3 linked regions of the Arabidopsis thaliana genome follow. The protein of the gene in region 1 purifies or fractionates together with the protein of each later gene. This does not show direct contact. Each region holds a gene or a part of one and is shown on either strand. Other genes may lie near its edges.

The links.
Region 2: the proteins of AT5G28900 (region 1) and AT2G42230 fractionate together in Arabidopsis thaliana (co-fractionation; one large-scale study listed by BioGRID). This does not show direct contact.
Region 3: the proteins of AT5G28900 (region 1) and AT3G57890 fractionate together in Arabidopsis thaliana (co-fractionation; one large-scale study listed by BioGRID). This does not show direct contact.

Annotation. Positions count from the first base shown.
Region 1 is NC_003076.8:10,923,920-10,930,971, reverse strand, and holds AT5G28900 (Calcium-binding EF-hand family protein), read right to left. Parts: upstream 5,338-7,052; 5' UTR 5,121-5,337; coding exon 4,968-5,120; intron 4,222-4,967; coding exon 3,994-4,221; intron 3,904-3,993; coding exon 3,798-3,903; intron 3,716-3,797; coding exon 3,616-3,715; intron 3,501-3,615; coding exon 3,395-3,500; intron 3,309-3,394; coding exon 3,218-3,308; intron 2,424-3,217; coding exon 2,282-2,423; intron 2,191-2,281; coding exon 2,043-2,190; intron 1,914-2,042; coding exon 1,804-1,913; intron 1,721-1,803; coding exon 1,564-1,720; intron 1,432-1,563; coding exon 1,306-1,431; intron 1,224-1,305; coding exon 1,080-1,223; 3' UTR 1,070-1,079; intron 935-1,069; 3' UTR 510-934; downstream 1-509. Other genes in the region: AT5G28910 (alpha-(1,6)-fucosyltransferase), read left to right, coding at 1-339.
Region 2 is NC_003071.7:17,592,908-17,598,445, forward strand, and holds AT2G42230 (C-CAP/cofactor C-like domain-containing protein), read right to left. Parts: upstream 3,759-5,538; 5' UTR 3,657-3,758; coding exon 3,171-3,656; exon of another isoform or gene 2,991-3,170; intron 2,896-2,990; coding exon 2,755-2,895; intron 2,631-2,754; coding exon 2,250-2,630; intron 2,149-2,249; coding exon 2,044-2,148; intron 1,957-2,043; coding exon 1,816-1,956; intron 1,678-1,815; coding exon of another isoform or gene 1,672-1,677; intron 1,538-1,671; coding exon 1,334-1,537; intron 1,227-1,333; coding exon 1,134-1,226; intron 1,038-1,133; coding exon 926-1,037; intron 842-925; coding exon 798-841; 3' UTR 504-797; downstream 1-503. Other genes in the region: AT2G42220 (Rhodanese/Cell cycle control phosphatase superfamily protein), read left to right, coding at 1-34, 140-244, 334-398; AT2G42240 (RNA-binding (RRM/RBD/RNP motifs) family protein), read left to right, coding at 3,937-4,200, 4,291-4,353, 4,565-4,649, 4,748-4,804, 5,050-5,122, 5,353-5,401, 5,515-5,538.
Region 3 is NC_003074.8:21,436,463-21,442,391, reverse strand, and holds AT3G57890 (Tubulin binding cofactor C domain-containing protein), read right to left. Parts: upstream 4,309-5,929; 5' UTR 4,122-4,308; coding exon 3,615-4,121; intron 3,104-3,614; coding exon 2,996-3,103; intron 2,908-2,995; coding exon 2,767-2,907; intron 2,622-2,766; coding exon 2,247-2,621; intron 2,162-2,246; coding exon 2,057-2,161; intron 1,928-2,056; coding exon 1,787-1,927; intron 1,449-1,786; coding exon 1,245-1,448; intron 1,134-1,244; coding exon 1,041-1,133; intron 947-1,040; coding exon 835-946; intron 741-834; coding exon 697-740; 3' UTR 504-696; downstream 1-503. Other genes in the region: AT3G57900 (import inner membrane translocase subunit Tim17/Tim22/Tim23 family protein), read left to right, coding at 7-111.

The DNA of each region.
Region 1 (7,052 bases):
GATCGGATCAGAGATCGGTTTCCAGAGCTCAACAGGATCTGGCTCTCTACAGAGATGAAGGAAGTGGTGGACAGAAGTAAAGATTATGCTCACTGGAGATTCTATTACACGGAAGTGGCAAGACAAGTCGGTAATAAGTCGATGGCTGAGTATGAAGCGAGCCTCGGGAGAGAGATGAGCACAAACTATCCTCTGGTTAACTTCTTAATGGCGTCAGAAGCTGATTTCTTCGTCGGAGCATTGGGTTCCACTTGGTGTTTCCTCATCGATGGTATGAGGAATACGGGTGGGAAAGTCATGTCTGGTTATCTCAGTGTCAATAAAGATCGGTTCTGGTAACTTTGCGAGTTCCACACTATGTACATAATAAGACTCCTCTCCTTTTTTCTTCATCTGTTGCACAAAGAGTTTTCAGTATAATAAAGGGAGGTTTGGTTGACAAACAGTTCAGAGCAACCGCAAACCAACTAAACCGATTCCGATGTGAAGATTTGAAGATCAACTGAACAGAGCAAAGTGGCTTTTCCTTAAGAATTTCACAAATAAAAAGACATCACTTCAAGATCAATAGTAATAACACAACCAACCTCTTCTCATCTCAGTGACATCCTGTGTCTTCAGGAACCAACCAAAAATTAAAGGAACTATAGCATTGAAATTCACAAGTCTCAACATCTGGAGATGATGAAGTAACACCCAGAGATAGAAACATCAGAGCAAAGTGAATGCAATACAGGTGAAGAAGACTGTAAAATCTAGACGATTGTTAATAAATATAACTGTAGAATCAGCTAACAAATAAAGAGAAGTTAGAAAACAAATCCAAGCTAAGTATGGTATTCAACAGAGGATACTACCGGCTTTTCGTTTGTTTTTCACTTTCCTTCCTCAACAAAGCTCCAAATGTTCTTCTCAGGGACTTTACATTTCTCTTCTGCATGATTAAGTTATATTATGAAATAATAACATTTGCACAAGCATCAACATCAAAGTTTTTTCAGTTTCTTTTTTTTCTAATCCTTTTCCACTAGTTTTATCTTCTAGACACTACGGTTTTCCGTTGACTTACCTTTATGAACTCAAAAGGGAGCCTCCAGCGACGACTCATCCCAAACCTCAGCACTTCCATTAGATGCATCTTCAACATCTTCTTCCATTGATAGCCTAATATACTCTCTATGTGCAAAACGGTCCCAATCTGTCAATGTAGGGTTCTCTCGCTCCTGTTTCCGTTTGACATTAGAAATGTTATAAGACGCATGTGGTGGTGTGAAGAAGTAGCAAGGTAAATTAGATGATTAGTACCTGACGAATGAGGAATGGATCCCGGGTTTCAAATGCCATAAATTTGTTGAGATTAAATAGGATGTTGAAGACGTTTCCAGAGAGCTTTGAGCCTTTCAGGTCATGCAGCGTTATATGGCTTTCGTTCTGTGGAAGGAAATAAAAAACAATCAAACACAAAACAAAATCACAAGACTCAGAAAGAAAACTGGGAACACAAACTACTTCTGTGACTATACTAAATATAGAAAGAAGAAAACAAGAGATATATTGTTGAACCTCAGGTCCGATCATATCAATCATCTGACATAAGATATCCTCGAAAAGAACAGCCTCTTGCGCCATGCACTCCATTCTATGCAACTGCTCTTCATAAAAGAATTGCATCTCATTTCGCGTAATAATCCCATTTGCATCCAAGTCTATGCACTTAAACCTAGTCCAACGTATACTTGTGTCAGATAAAAGACTTAAAATGGTATCTGTCTGCAACTTTCGGACCCTTCTATCACAACTTACCAATATTCTAGGCTAGGCACTGACGATTTATCTTCTTCCGCAAGAATGAAATAGACAAAGTCCTCATACCCCATCTTCCCTTCAACTTTGTTAGTGAACTTCCTAGCAACCTGAGAAGAAACCAATGCATCTTAAGAGCAATAATAACTTTGAACGAGGAAAGAACTCTTAAAATAGAAGCAATATAAATAAAATCTTCAAGTAGTAGGCATTAAAGAGCAAGGTTTTTTAGACAGAACCTGGGAGAATATTCTGTCGACAATCCGGTAGGTAAGAGCATGGTTTCCATATCGCATAAGATTTTCTTTGTCAATCAGGAAATCGTGATCCGTATCCAGCTCCCAGAACTTGCAGTATATGACATAGAAATGCTCATACGAGAAGTATCTAATTGCCAAAGTGAATAGAAAAGTGATGTTAAATGAGCAAAAACAATACTATAAATACAACAATAGCACGCAAATATTTTTGTCAGTACCTCAACACTTTGTTAATATCTTCTTCTTCATCAGCATGTAGCATAGCATCAATTAAGTTTCCCCGTTTAAGCTCCCTAAATGTAATTCGACCATTGCCAGATCTATTTATGTAATAAAATATTCGGTAGGTGACAGTTTCAGCTGTTTCAGCAAAATACAAATTGTATCAGACAGAAAAGCATCCTTAAAAATTTAGCTTTGATACCGGTAGCAGCAAATACCAAAGAATATGGACTCCAGATATCTAGAAAGCAATCAAAGTGTTCTCGGGAATTCATTACTAACTGACGCATGATTCATAAACAAGCTCCAGAATTTATTTTTTCTGATATTGATTATATCTGCAGGATTCATAGACTGAAGATGATTCATTCCGTGCTTGAAAGCTTTATGGATTTGCAAGTTATAAGATGATGTCTAACACAACAAAACAAAGAAACCGTATCTTATAAAAATTTTAAAATCCATACAGAGTAATGCCACATTTATTACTGTATCTCGATGCATCAATTATCAAAATTATTTATTTCACTAGAAATATTATTGATGTGGTAACCATTCGACAGATTTAGATAAGTACATGGCAAACTTATTCACTCATTCTTCTCAACTAGGGCTGTAGCTACCAATATACTTCGAAGAATAAAATGTACAATCAAACTCAATTACTAAACACCATTACTCAAGCAATATCAAGAAGAAATACTATTGATCTGGTAACCATCTGACAGATTTAGATAAGTACATCATACCAAAGTGGCAAACTTATTCACTCATTCTTCTCAACTAGGGCTGTAGCTACCAATATACTTCAAAGAATAAAATGCACAACCAAACTCAATTACTAAACACCATTACTCAAGCAATACCAAGCGGAAAAAGAAAACATGAGATAACTTAGGATACTAAAAATGTAAATAAAGTTGAGACCTAACCATATCTTTCTTGGAATTCAGGTGTGGATTGCAGGAACTCTAGCCCAGGATGCGTCGCCAACAGTTCTTTGAGTAGTGGTTTGAAATCATCCTGCCATGAAAAAAAGAAAAGAATCTGGAATATAATAAACTCGCTCTCATGACTGACTGAATATGCAAATCTTAAAAGAAAATAACCTTAACAATGAAACTCTGATCTTTCTGCTTTAGTATCTTGAAGATTTGGGTCGTTGTATCCATTATCAACATGTTCCCGTTTACCCAAAAATCAATAAATGCATCTCTGTAGAAACAAACACGAAAAACTGTTATACTGGGTGGTGTTTCAGTAAACTATGCAGACATGAAGAGGAAGCACCATACAAAAAAAAAAAAAGCATAGAAGAAGCGGCACACACCTAGTAACAAAACCTGTATTGTTGAGATCGATCTTCCGGAAAAGGGAAGTGGAGAAGAAAGATGGGAGCTTGCAGATTTCTCTGGTGACTAACTTGAATTCTGAGTATTGATTGAAAATGGAGAAAAAAGTTAATAAACAGTTCAAATATAATTAGTAGAAAACAAATGACTGACTTCTAACCTTGTATCTGCAAGCCATCCATGTGACCATAAAAGAAGTGATTGATTCTAAACATACATTGCTCTTTAATCTCGCTTGGTGGAGGGCGACCATTTTGGAAATAAAACTAGAATCATTTCAAGTTAAGAAATCAGTGAGTTAACTCCATTCCATTACTATATATATATAAAGAAGGAAGAAAAAGAGGAAAAGAAACCTGAGGTATAGGCTCTTTAACAGGCTCGTTGACTACTTTGAGAGTAGAACCTAAGTTAGAAGGGGCTCTCTGTTTGGTTGTACGGGGTGAACCACAACTCCTTGGTGAAAGCGGAGGAGCACTTCCCGCAGGAAACATAGATGGTATAGTGGCAGAATTAGAACCCGATGCACTTCCAGTAACATTGATAGGAGCTCCAGCTACAGCATCCTTAAGCAATGATCCAACCTAGAAAACCAACGAGAAAAAGATTAGACTAGAGATTCCAGTGAATAGAGAGTAATTAAGCAACCAAATCTCATTAACCACCTAAGGCATCATTGTCATAACTCACACAATCCAAGAAAGATTCAAACTTTACACCAATCTTCAACACCACAGAGTAATTTAGCAAACAAATCTCATTAACGTAAGCTTCATTGTAATACTCACATAAGAAAATAAGAATATACGTCATAACTCACAGAATCAAAAAATGATTCAAACTTTACACCAATCTTTCAACACCACAGAGTAAATCTCAGTAACCTAAGCATCAATGTAACACTCACCAACACTATCAAAGAAAGATACGAACTTTACACCACAGAGTAATTAAGCAACCGAATCTAAGTAACCACCTAAGGCATCATTATAATACTCACTAACACAATCAGAGAAATATTCGAACTTTACACCATTCTCAGTAAGCTAAGCATCATTGTAATAACTAACACTATCAAAGATCCCAACTTTACACCAATCCTCAACAGAAACCAGAGAGTAATTAAGCAACCAAATATCAGTAACCACCTAAGGCATCACTGTAATACCCACTAACAGTATCAAAGAAAGATTCAAACTTTACACCAATCCTCAACACCACAGAGTAAGTAAGCAACCGAAGTATCATTGTAACATTACGAAAGAAAGATTCGAACTAACAGAGAGTAAGCTAAGAAGCATGAGTGTAAGAATAGTGAAAAAGCAGAAACCTGTCGCTGAGCTTCGGGAAGAGAAAGCCACTGGTCGAAGAGCTTCTGAGTGAATCCAGGTTTAGAATTGAGAACAAAGGAAGACATTTCCTGAAGCTGCAACAAATCTGCATCCAAACAAGCCATATCTCCGGGAATAACCGTATCCACCATATTTAATCAATCGCATCAAAGTCGAGAAGATGAGAGAATGATCTTTGAGGCGAGCGAAATTGGAATTTTGAACAAAGTCGAGATCTTCTTCACCAACACATCGAATCTAGTCTTCCTTCTTCTCCGATTCCGAACAAGGAAATGAGACAGCCAAATTCTTTTATTTATTTATTCTTTTGAGCAATCTGAAATAAATAAATAAATTAGAGAGATACCCAAAAAATACTTGAAACACAAAAAGTTGATTTTAAGGGTTTATAATTTATTAAATGTTTGGGTTTGAGTTAAGTTTTTTGGGGTTTAGGGTTTATTTTTTAGAGTTTAGGATCTAGTTTTGAAAACTTTAAAAGTAATTTTGTGGTATTTTCAGAAAATAATATATTTTAGTGGTACTTTCAAAAAAATATAAACTACTAATAATGTTTTATAACAAAAATTAATTTTATGGTATTTTTAAAAATATGTCCATAAATAAATTAATATTTCGTTGACTAAATAATAAAAATAAGTAAGTGTATTTGAAGTAGAAATTTTTTTTCTCAACATGTGGTTGGATTCTTGATTTTTTCTATATTTTGTCAACCACACATTAGTTAAAATATTACTTCATAATTGGTAGTCCAATCTTAAGGAAAAATATTTACGAAACAAATTTCATATAATATACTATCTAGAGTAACGAGTTAGACAATCTACCTTATACAAGAGCCATGGATTCTAGAAAGAAAGAAAGTTTTATATATCATATAAAAAATACTTGACGAATGAGAAACATATGATGTGTTTCATATCATGTTTTCCATATTTCATAAGATTTTCTTTGTCAATCGGGAAATCGTGATCTTTATCTTTATCACATAAATTATAATATATGACATAGAAATGCTCTTATGAAAAGTATTTTGTTGCCAAATAAATAGAAATGTGTTGATATCAAAAAAACTAACACAAAACTATAGTTTGCAAATACGTGTAACTTAAAGTCTGACTCAATATTTATAACAACAAGAAAAAAAAACTATTTTTGTTAGTATCTCAACACTTTGTTGATATCTTCTTCTTGATCACCATAAAGCATATCATCAATTAAGTTTCCACGTTTAAGCGTTCTAATTGTATGTAGATCATATCTAGATCGATTTATGTCATAAGATATTTTATAGGTAACTATTTCAACTAGTCCATGGAAATAAAAATTGCATTCTTGAAAACCTGAGACATGGTAAAATCTAATCAGGTTCACATAATTTTTCTTGACTAAATCACATATCATATATAATTCATGTACTTTTACCAAATTTAGCAAAATTATCCCCTTATTAACAACATTAACTAGGGAAAAGAAAAACTATAGTAATCTGTCATTCATCAGATCTCGTATGTTCTATATCATCTTCATCCATGTAATTTCTTTCTAGATTACCTCATTTGCCCACAAAGACATCAAAAGAGAAATTATGATGGTCACTACAAAACTTAAGAGGCAAAATATAACGTAAATTATATATATGAAAGGAGCTCAACTCTCTCCCACAACTTGACACATCAGCACATGAGAGCTTGCCACCTAGACTTATTAAAATAAGTAAAATATAATTAGTAATTAATTCAACATATGAACCTATCATAAGTAAGAACTTCAACCATCACTCTTTCTATATTTTTAAATATTTTCTTGAGCACTATTAACCTTAAATTTGTAACAAATCCTCTAACATGTTGATTTCATAACAAATTTAGCTGGTGAAATGTGTGTCGATCAATTAGAAAATATAGTTGTTTTTTATAAAATGATAGGAAGAAAAATAAACGGTAAATTATAACGATTGTGATTCTTTCAAGTTATTTTTTAACGTATGAAGTTCATATATGTTGGTATGGTGTTATTAAAGATATTAAATTATTATGATTATAGACATAGGCGATTGGGTT
Region 2 (5,538 bases), on another chromosome or scaffold:
TGTGTAACATCAGGGCTACAATCTGTAAAACCAGGTTTGATCCCATTTGGTTTCATCTAAGATCATTTCTTGAGGGGTTTTGGAGATAGTTTGGTTTGAGAAGGATAATGAATCGGATTTACTGTTGTTGCGACTTTAGGGACATTTGAATCCGTCGGTTCCACTGAGTTGCAGAATGCAGGCAAAGCAGGGCTTATCACAATTCAAGGCAAGATCTCAGCAGTCTTAGGGACAGTACTCGTCTGTAAGTTTAATTTACATAGAGCTGAAGAATATAGAGAATGTTGTTTGGTCTTTCCTTTGGTTATGAGTAAGACTTTGTTGAACTTGCAGGTGCTTATTTGTTCATACAGTTCTTCCCGGACCAAGCAGAGAAGCTCTTTCCTCCAACAAGCTAAGACAAGACAAAGAAAACAATTGAGGCAGACATGTTTTCACATTTTCTGCCTGTTTTGAATGTGATGCTTAAGAGAAAATTCAAAATATTTAAAATTCCCAAGTAGTAGTTACTAAAAGATTTATATATATGGTATTGAGAAAAGTTGTTATAACAATTGAAAGAAATCAACAACAAGACAAGATGGCTTAATGTTTTTCAAGGACAAAAACGTGGATATTTAAGACTAATAAATACGATAAAAGCAGAGAGAAACCTACACACAAAAAAACAGAGCTTTAGGAGTTAGAGAGCGTGCTGTGCAGTTAAATTCTGATGTCAAACGTGCTAGCAAATCTCTGAGAAGGAACGGATCAAGAGAACTCTACAGTGACTCTGACATTTTCAATCGCCATTGGTCTTAATCGCCTTGTAGGCAGTAAAGTTGCCGAATATTTCCCGTCGCTGTCACCAAAAGAAAGAGATACATATAGATCATTGGCTGGCCAAAGGAGTAAATGAACTAGAATGGGGATTTTATTTGATTACCGTATAGCCAGTCTTTGAAATACATGTGGAACGCTGTAGTGAGTTCTCGTTTTCGGTTTTCTTCGAGAGGTGTTTCTCTCAAGGATTGTCTTGTTTCCTCTAAGTTCTTAAGCTGCTCAAAACCAAAACACAGTTAAGGGATCAGATGCTGAAGTATGGATGAAAAAGAAACGAGCAATTTTATGCGGAAAGCAAATAAAAAACATACGTTTGTCTGCTGCACTGCCTTATATGCATCTGGCAATGGAAATGGATTGTCTTTCGTGGAACCAATCGCCTCACCCGCAAACCAGTTTGGGATCTGAACCAGAGACATTGATGTGAGAAATTAACCCACGAACACAATCTTAATAACCAATATCACTAGTTACTAGAGGAAAATTAAACTAACAAAAAGGGGAATCTAACCAAAAAGGTAGTGAACTGGTCAGGGTCCACACAAGAAGCCGGTTCAGCTTGTTTATCAGAGGCACCAGTCGGATGTGATAGTGAGTCATGCGGATCAATTGCTCCGAGCGCCAAGGATTCGTTCCATTTGTTGATAGTTGGCTGAATTCCTACCTCGGTTATGTGCTCCTCCAAGTGTGAGTAAAATGTATTATATGGAGCAACCTGGAACAGATAACAGTCACATTGATGCCAACAGTTATAGACAACACATCAGAAGATGTTTCCACTTAACTCAGTTGAAGAAGTGACTTTAACAGCATGCTCAATTTTCCAAACACCAGGAACCATTAATACGATCATGACTATACCAGGATATTAACACAGGAAAGATTTAGCCTAGAGTTAAAAGAAAAACTGTAGTCTATTTATTAATTTCAGCTGAATATCAGGGCGGGAAAGAAGAGTTATGTATGCAGCTCAATCTTAAATAGACATATCACCTGTAGTTTGTGGTTATCACCAACTATAAGAGGTCGCTGATTGACTCCCAAAAAGAACACACATTCACGGCAATTGGCGATGCAAATTCGTTTGGTAGCTACAATCACATGAACTCTCTCACAATGCTCAACTTTTACTGCCTGCAAAGAACATAAAATATTATCACTGCATTCTAACCTGAACCTCGCTAACAAAGACTAAAACAGAAAGGAGTATATTTGCCGTACCTTGCCAGCAGCTCCCAGAACGATAGTAGAATCAGAACACCCATACACAGTTGCATATCTCAATGGCGCTAACAGATAAATAACAGAATCATGGCAATTGGCAACCTGCAGAATACACAAAACATGCAATTGACGTGCATACATGAGTAAACGAAACTAAATGAGGGATTGCTGTTTAAAATGCAAATTAGTTGTTCAATACGGACCTTCACTGATCTACCCTTAAGATCAGAAGCCTGCTTGAAAAGTGAGGTCTTAGAGACTCCCTCAATAATACATGGACCTCTGTCGTTAGATGAAACTTTATTAAGAGCTACACTAGAATCAGCCATTGCAGCATTCTGATCAGAGGCATTAGATGCCCCATTTTCTTTCCCAGAGATTCTGTTAGAAATGCTTTCTAAGGCGGAAGCTATGTCTTTGAGAAGCCAATCATTCACTTGGGAAGCAGGAACGGGGACAGCGGGCATATCAGGATCAGAATTCGCAAAAAAAGGAGTAGCTTGGCTTAAAGAAGGTACATCAAATCCCTTATCACCATAATGAACAAGAAACCCAATGTGCTCCAAACTCTCCATAGACAGGACCTGAGGAGGAGATTCGGACCATCTAGCATGAGATATTCGTTCTTTTCCATTTCCCATAATATTGCATCACAACATAAAATTTTCTATCCATCTGATACAAACATAAAAAAAGTTTAGCACATACCAAAGAATCATCTCCTTGTCCCTCCACAGGCTCTGCAAGGAGAGAAATAATATTTGCAATGTGCTTTTGCAGATACGATAATTGATGAGCTTCTTCATCTGTCGGTGATGGCATAAACCGACGGCTGTTGCTACGAACAAGCTGCAAGATGATGAAAGGAAATTTAACTTAAACTCAACAGCTACAAGGATGTCTCTACCCATATGATAGAAACAGTAATGAGAACAATTATCGGTAAAATATTTCAAATATCAGACAATCCTTTTCATATGTTTCTGAATGATAACGTAATATTATTTAACTTGCATTGCAAAATTATAGTAAAATCCAATGCAAAATGAAATTTTTTAAACCAAATAGATCACAAGATAACGTTTTGAGCCACATTACATGATTAAGAGAATAAAAAAGCTTGCCTGAATTGGAGATAATGCCGACAAGTATCCATCAAAAGCAGAAGTCGAAGGCCAAACATCAGCCACAGAAGCAGAGTCTTTATGCGTCCTAGGCAATAACTTCTTATACGATTGAATGTAGAGAAACAATATCAGATCCCTCAAATCAGCTCCCACGGAATCAACTTCCTCAGGTTTGGCCAAAACCAATGGGTCAGTCTCGCAATGGAGCACCGAAGAGAGAGTTTCGAGAACGAGGCGCGCATGGTCATCGGAGATCGAGAGTGCATCGGAAATGGCAGCAGATCCGACGCGATGATTCGTCGCCAAAGAAGCTAACTTTTGCTTGATCGGAGCTAGAGTTTGAATCGGGTCGGTAAAAACGAGCTTCTGGATCGGAAGAAGGCCGTGCTCGAAAGGAACACGTCTTGGGTGGATTATTAAATTCGAATTTTGAATCGGGTCTGGGTCAGGTGGTGGTGATTGGTCGATGAGCTCTTCCGTCATTATGCTTTAAACCAGAGAACGAGAGAAAAAGAACTGTTATGAATGAAGTTGCAGATCTTTGAACATAGGAACAATTGTCATCAAGAAGAAGAAAAAAAGAGAGAGAGTGTTATGTTACAGTGTGTGCAACCACATGCTATTATCCTACGCCTGGTGATGAACAATGGGTCAAAAAGGCCGATATTTAAATGGGCTTTAAACGGCCCATTAAGTAACGCGATTAGTTTCTTCTCCGTTGTAAACTGCGACTTTCACCGGCCACGAGATTAAGTCGTTGTCAATGGATGATTTGGAAGCTTACTATTCTCACTATAATTTACCGGCGATGGTTCCTCCTCCGCCGCCGGGAGTTTCTCCGATTCCAATTACTTCAGCTCATTCCGTCTATTTGCCTACCCATGTCTCAATTGGAGCTCGCGATGAGGTTAGGACGCTTTTCGTCGCCGGACTTCCTGAAGATGTCAAGCCTCGGGAGATCTACAATCTCTTTCGTGAGTTCCCAGGATATGAGACTTCGCATCTCCGGAGCTCAGATGGAGCTAAGGTAATCATTTTCTATCTCTCCGGATTTGTGATTTGGGTAATGATGTTTCCCGGCGAAGAGACTGAGAATCTTACTTTATTTGTTTGGTAGCCCTTCGCATTTGCTGTGTTCTCGGATCTGCAATCAGCTGTAGCGGTGATGCATGCTCTCAATGTGAGTACAAATTTCTTCAAACTTGCTCTTGCAATGTGTCGCCGATGTATCTACTTACAAAGCATTAAGTAAATTTGGTATCTTTATGGTTGTTCTTAATTCAATCTAGTAAATTGAAATCATTCGGTTGGGATTTGTATGCGTAAGTGAATAAGCTTTGTCATTTGCCTAGATTAAGAAACTTTCTGAATTTTATTTCTGAACCTTTCAGGGAATGGTGTTTGATCTTGAAAAGCATTCTACTCTTCACATTGACCTTGCCAAATCAAATCCCAAATCTAAGCGTTCAAGAACAGGCAAGTAGTAGGATTCTTTCGGTTCGGTAGCTCAATAAAAATTTGACCTTTGCTATTGTTGTGTTAATTTTTATTTTGTGATTTTTGTGATATGGTAGATGATGGTTGGGAAAGCTTGAAAAAACTCAAGTCTTGGAACACTACTACTGAATCTGGTAAGATCATTGGCACACACCTTCATCTTGAGGCTTCTTGTAACCTTCTGTATTTTATGTTTCTTGTAACTGAATGTTTGTGTAGTATATATATTTTCAAACTTCCAATCTTCATGACCATCACGCTCATGCATGCTAGCTCTTTTTGGTTTAAGATTTCACACTTGGGCTTTAAGTGCCGTCAACATGGTTTCACGTTTCTGAAAACTCACACTGCACATTCTTGCACGTTTGGGCACTAGCAGGTTTTGGCAGCTTTCAAACTCCTGGAATGAGTAGTTCTGCTTACAACACAATTGGTTATTCACCTGCACAAAGGTCATCTGCACTACTTGAGCACATTTCTAGTTCCTTGTGAATGCTTAGATTCTGTTTCTTTGTTGCACACTCTTTTCTTGTACCTCTGCCTTGAAAATCTGACCTACTTAAGGATTAGCTGAACTAGTCCTAGCTCACATGTCTAGATACTGGTTACGAGAGTGCTTGTTCTTTCTTAGCTATTAGCTCACGAAACTCAGGGTCTCATTAAATTCTTTTTGCTCGTTCAGTCAAGGAATTGCTAATGTTGCTGGGAGGGCACCGACTTCTAGAAAACCTGTAAGCTTCTGCCTATTTTATACTTCATATGAGTATTGTTTTCTGTCTGGACGAAAAACAGTGAGGTAAACTATTCTTACCAGTGAACATGACAATCTTTGTTCCTTTGACAGAGTAAGGCGGCAGATCCTTGTCCA
Region 3 (5,929 bases), on another chromosome or scaffold:
TTGGAGGTGTTCATTGGTGTTGAACAGTTGGTGCAGAACTTTAGAGCTAAGAGAGATTTCTTCAATGGAGCACACATTACAATGACTAAAGTAGCAAGAACTCATTATTAGCTGGATCCTGCGCTCATGGATATCTCTGTTCCATCCCATGTCCTTCTGTTTTTGTATCTTGAGATGTTCATGTTATGTTGCATTGTTTGGATGTTTCTACGAATATGAGATTCTGCAAATATGAGAAATTTTGGAGCTCTAAAACTTCTTCAGAAATTTGCACCTACCATGGTAGTAGCCTAACTCTTGCGTCCACTTAAATCTATTTGACCAAGACAAGACTATCTATCAAAACAGTTTTGCTTACAAGTTATAACTTATAACAATTCAAGTCATCATGCTCTATTTGAAGATGAGATTTTCAATAGAGAAGGGAACAAAAACGATGGATTGAAATGTCAAGGAAAGAAAAGCAGAAATCAAGAAAACAATAATCTAAACGAAAGCTTTAAGAGAGTATTTCTGTGCAGATAAGTTACGTTGTGAAGTATTGGTTCCAAACTACAAATCACTGAATCAGGCTGATTTCTCTTTTTTCTTTTTTCTTTTGGTCTTGGGGTGGGGTTTCTTCACTAGCAATATGCCAAATATGATCGAAGGAGCTCTACATGAACAAGACACTTTCCGCTTGGTCTATTATTCTTATTAGTCACCTTGTAGGCAGTAGAGTTGCCTTATATTTCCAGATGCTGTCGCAACAAAAACATAGACTAAGTCAAAACCTAATGAATGATGCATATCAATAAAGTAAAGTAGGGATCGATTCAGAGAAAGTTTTCTTACCGTAAAGCCAGTCTTTGAAATAAACATGGAGTGCACTTGATAGCTCTCGTTTCCGGTTTTCTTCTAGAGGCGCCTCTTTTAACGATCGTCTTGTTTCTTCAAAGTTCTTAAGCTGATGACAAAAAAAATTGCAGATACAAGATCAGATATGGACAAAAATAACAAATGCATTTGTTTATCTGGTTAAGTATAACTTTAAAACATACGTTTCTCTGCTGAGCTGCCATATAAGCATCTGGCAATGGAAATGGATTGTCTTTCGTCGAACCAAGCTCCGCGCCGCTAAACCAGTTTGGGATCTGTGCCATTGTCATTGATACCACCGAAAAACACGTCATTAGATGCTTCATGACACTGAAAAGCATTCACCAATTATTGACGTAAATGTTAGACCCAAATAGAAAATGTACCAAAAAGTTTACGAACTGGTCAGGGTCTACAGAAGCAGCTGATTCAGCCTGTGCATCAGCAACACCGGCAGGATGTGACAGGGAGTCATGTGGATCCACAGCTCCCAGGGCCAATGGTTTGTCCCATTTGTTGATCGTTGGCTCAAGCCCTACCTCCCTCATGTGCTCTTCCAAATGAGAGTAAAATGTATTATATGGAGCGACCTGAAACAAAGTCAAATTGATGCCAGCACTTTAAAAATAGAAGCCCATAATCACTAGAAGCAATATCTGACAATGCCCGCACTCTTAAAAACCAGTAAAACCTTCTTGAGGAAAACATTTGACTAAACGTATCTAGCAGCAGTCTAGCCACCCCTCCAAGTTTGTTTCCACTAGACTTGATGACGTGTCCGAAACGGCTTATTAACCAAACTAACCAAACTAAATCTAGTAAAAAGTCTAGCCACTCAATTTTTTTTACCTTAATATCAGAAAGGTAAATAAGAGCAACATGACATAAAACTTGTAAATTAAACCACAATCTTAAAGAGAAGCTTCACCTGCAGTTTGTGGTTATCACCAACAATAAGTGGCCGCTGATTGACTCCCAAGAAGAATACACATTCACGACAATTGGCAATGCACACTCGTTTGGCAGCTACAATCACATGAACTCTTTCACAGTGCTCAACTTTTATTGCCTGCAGAAATAAATACGGAATTATGTTTGATACATCTTTTAATAAAAGTTGGCAGATATTATAACTTGTTAAATGTTGCTTTGACTATCTTCAGAAAAGATAAAGAAGGAAGAAGCATTGTTTCCATACCTTGCCAACAGCTCCCAAAACTATAGTAGTATCAGAACATCCGTGCACAGTTGCATATCGCAATGGTGCTAAAAGATAAATTACAGAATCATGGCAATTGACAACCTGAAAAATACACAAAACAAGGAGTTGACATGCTTGCACAGAGATTCCATGACTGGAAGAAAAACGGAACAAGGAACAGTCAGACCTTCACAGATCTACCCCTTAGATCGGAGGCTTGCTTAACAAGTGAAGTCTTGGAGACTCCCTCGATTAAACACGGGCCTCTAGTACTAGGTGCAACCTTGTTCGGAGCAGCACAAACATCTGACATCGCATCATCTTGATCGTTAGAAGGTCCGTTCTCTTTTCCAGAAATTCTCTCAGTAATGCTTTCTAAAGCGGAAGCTATGTTTTGCAGAAGCCAGTCATGCACTTGGGAAGCGGGGACTGGAACAGCGGGCATATCCGGATCAGAATTTGCAAAAAAAGGAGTAGCTTGGCTCAATGGAGATACATCAGATCCCTTATCACCAAACTGAACAAGAAAACGCAGATGCTCGAACGCCTCCATAGAGAAAACCTGAACGATATTGGACAAGAAAAAAAAAATTAACTTGTGTTCTCTTTCATTTCCTAAAAAATTCTTATTCCAACATCAGAATTTTATATTCTTGTAGCTTAGAACAGTGACACCCCCTGAGAATATAAGAAAGATTAGAACTTACCAATGATTCATCTCCTTCTCCCTCCACAGGCTCTGCAAGGAGAGAAATGATGTTTGCTAAATGTTTTTGCAGATATGACAACTGATGAGCTTCATCATCTGCCTGTGATGGCATAAATCGACGGCTGTTGCTGCGAACAAGCTGCAGAAATGATGAAAAGGAGATATAAATAACAATTTTAGCTCCAATAAAGTTGGTTCGACCCATGTGATGAGAAACGATAGAATACCAAAGAACAGTGACTGTAGAAAACACTGAAAAGCTTAAGATTATATGACTGTTTTCTAAAAGACTCAATAGAACATCCATACCACACAGGAAACAGAATATTACAGGACTGGAGACCCGAGTCAAAATTCAAGAACACACCAAGCATTATCACCAAATAAACCACGTGAAAGGACCAAACAAAATAAGGTACAACGGAAAAAGAATCAGATTCCGAACCACAAAACAAAGCAAGCTGGCGACTGTTTGACTTTAGTTAGTAAACTAACCAATTACCATTGCCCCAGAGTCATCAGAGAAAGGGGACTGGCAATTAAATACAAGTAAGCATCTTCCTCATTGAGAATTGTTACGAAACTATAGCCACCATCAATTCAATTAATCACCCAAATTTCCGACATTGCTTAACTCTAAGTTTCAGGTAAATCAAATGACTCAGAAAACTTAAACTTGCATTGCAAATTTTAGTTAAATACAATGCGAAATGGAAATAAGTTATTCTCTACCACGTTCCAATTCCATACTCGAGTACAACAGTTCCATTTCAATACCAAACAAATCGCAGGCGCTGGGATTGAGGCACATTATAATAAGAGGGCCAAAAAAAGTAAGAAACTTGCCTGAATTGGCGATAACGCAGACAAGTATCCATCAAAAGCTGAAGTCGATGGCCAAACATCAGCCACCGCTGCGGAGTCCTTATGCGTCCTAGGAAGCAACTTCTTATACGATTGAATGTACAGGAACAAAATAAGATCCCGCAAATCAGCTCCGACGGAATCAACTTCCTCAGGTTTCGCCCGAACCAGAGGGTCAGACTCGGAATGAAGCACCGAACCGAGAGTCTCGAGAACGAGACGCGCATGGTCGCCGGAGATCTGGAGAACGTCGGCGATTGCAGCCGATCCAACGCGGTTATTCGAAGCCGCATCGGCTAGCTTCTGCTTGACAGGGGCTAAGGTTTGGATCGGGTCGGTGAAAACGAGTTTCTGGATCGGGAGGAGTCCGTGCTCGAAAGACACACGCCTTGGATGGATTACTGAATTCGGATTCGTGCTCGAGTTTGGTTCAGGGTCGGGTGCTGAAGGTGGTGGTGATTGGTCGATGAGGTCTTGTTCTTCAGTCATGATTGATTCGTCGCGCGAGGTAGAGAGACAGAAGAGATAGAGAGAGACTGGTCCGGTGGTGAAGTTGCAGATCTTTCTTTGGGTGACGAATCATTTCATTGAAGGAGAAGAGCAGAGAGAGAGATGGTTACAGTGCGTGCACGTGTATGTTAGTAACGTACGCTTCGTTTCTTTGGTCGTTGGATTTACGAGTAGATTAACCTTTGATCTGAGCTATGACACGTCAGATGAACGGAGATAACATGTTAACTAAAGAGGCCCATTTGAGAATTGAATGCAAATCGCATTTAAGTTTTAGTTAGGCCATTGTTGCAATAAGTTAGGTCCTAAGCGTTCGTCAAAAGGAGAAAAGGTGATCATCACAACTCATAATTAGGTTTTACAATAGGGAAATATACTTGGTTACCTAAGTACTTGTAAGTTGTCACTGTTAATTAAAATTGTTAGAAGATTAGTGGGAAAAAGAGAGATAAAATTGGGAAGTTTAGGCCAAAAGAACTCATAACTCGCTTTCATTGCAATTTAAATATTGTCCGCTTGTTTAAGGAAAATGGTTTGCAATGGGTAAACATCGTTTAAATGAGACGGTTATGTTTTTTAGCAGTTACAGAAAAAGGCGGGTAGAAAAAAACGGTTAGAAAAGATGAACAACCTAAAATTAAACCAATTGGTAATATCGTTTAAATAAGGCGGTTATTTTATTTAACACTTACAAAAAAGACTGATAAAAAAAAACGGTTAGAAAATATATTAAAAGAAAAAATGATAAATAATTTAAAATGAACCGTTAAATAATAGTTATGATTAGTAACAAACGGTTAAACAGTAAAAAAAAAAAACTAAATTAAAATATTTAATAAATAACTAAAAATATTTAAAAAACAAAGAAAAACAAAACTCTTTAGTAAATAATTCAAATACATTACAGTTTTAAAAATCTAAGAAACGTTAAATAACTAAAATATTCCAATGGTGAACAAGAGAGGTTGCAAACTCACCTATTTTGTTTAAGCTTTTAACCGTTTGTTTCAATCACCTATTCTTACCACTCGTTTCATCCGTCTATTGCAAGCAATTATTTGATTGGTAATCAAACTAACGGTTGAATTTATCGCCGTTAAATAAATGTTATCAAGCTACTATTGGAATTCGGAAAGGGAACACTATCAACTTTTGGATTCTTAGGTTATCTCATTCATTCAGCTAGCTCAATATTCTGATTTGATTTGATTTGATCCGTTTCGATTCGGTATTTGATTTAATTTGATTCGAAAAATCCGAATATTCGTAAGATTTTGGAGCAAAGCAAATAGAAAAATATAGTATTCGTAAAAATCGAATCAAATAATAAATATTGTTTTTTAAAAAATCGAATATCCGCTTCGATCCGTATCTTTTTATATATATTAGAAAATATAGTATATCTATATATAGATATCATAAATAGTTTGTGTATTGTTGTCATTTTATGTTTTTATGTTAAGATGTTTGTTTGATCATTTTTTTTTATGTTATGTTTTGATCAATGGCATCAAAAAACTATCGGGTTTTAGTTTTGGAATTAGTTTGATAATATTTTGTTGACCGGTGATACCAACAACGGTTATGTTTGGTATTTAGAACTTATTTTAAAAGCACACGGAGACACCAATTAAGGAACGCACGGATAAATTTTTTGAATATATGATATAGTTATATAGTATACATATTTTTTTAATATTTAAATGTATCAAAGCGGATATCCGCAAATATCACAAAAAATTCCGGATATTCGAAATTCCGGATATCTGGAAATTTTCGAAGTAAAG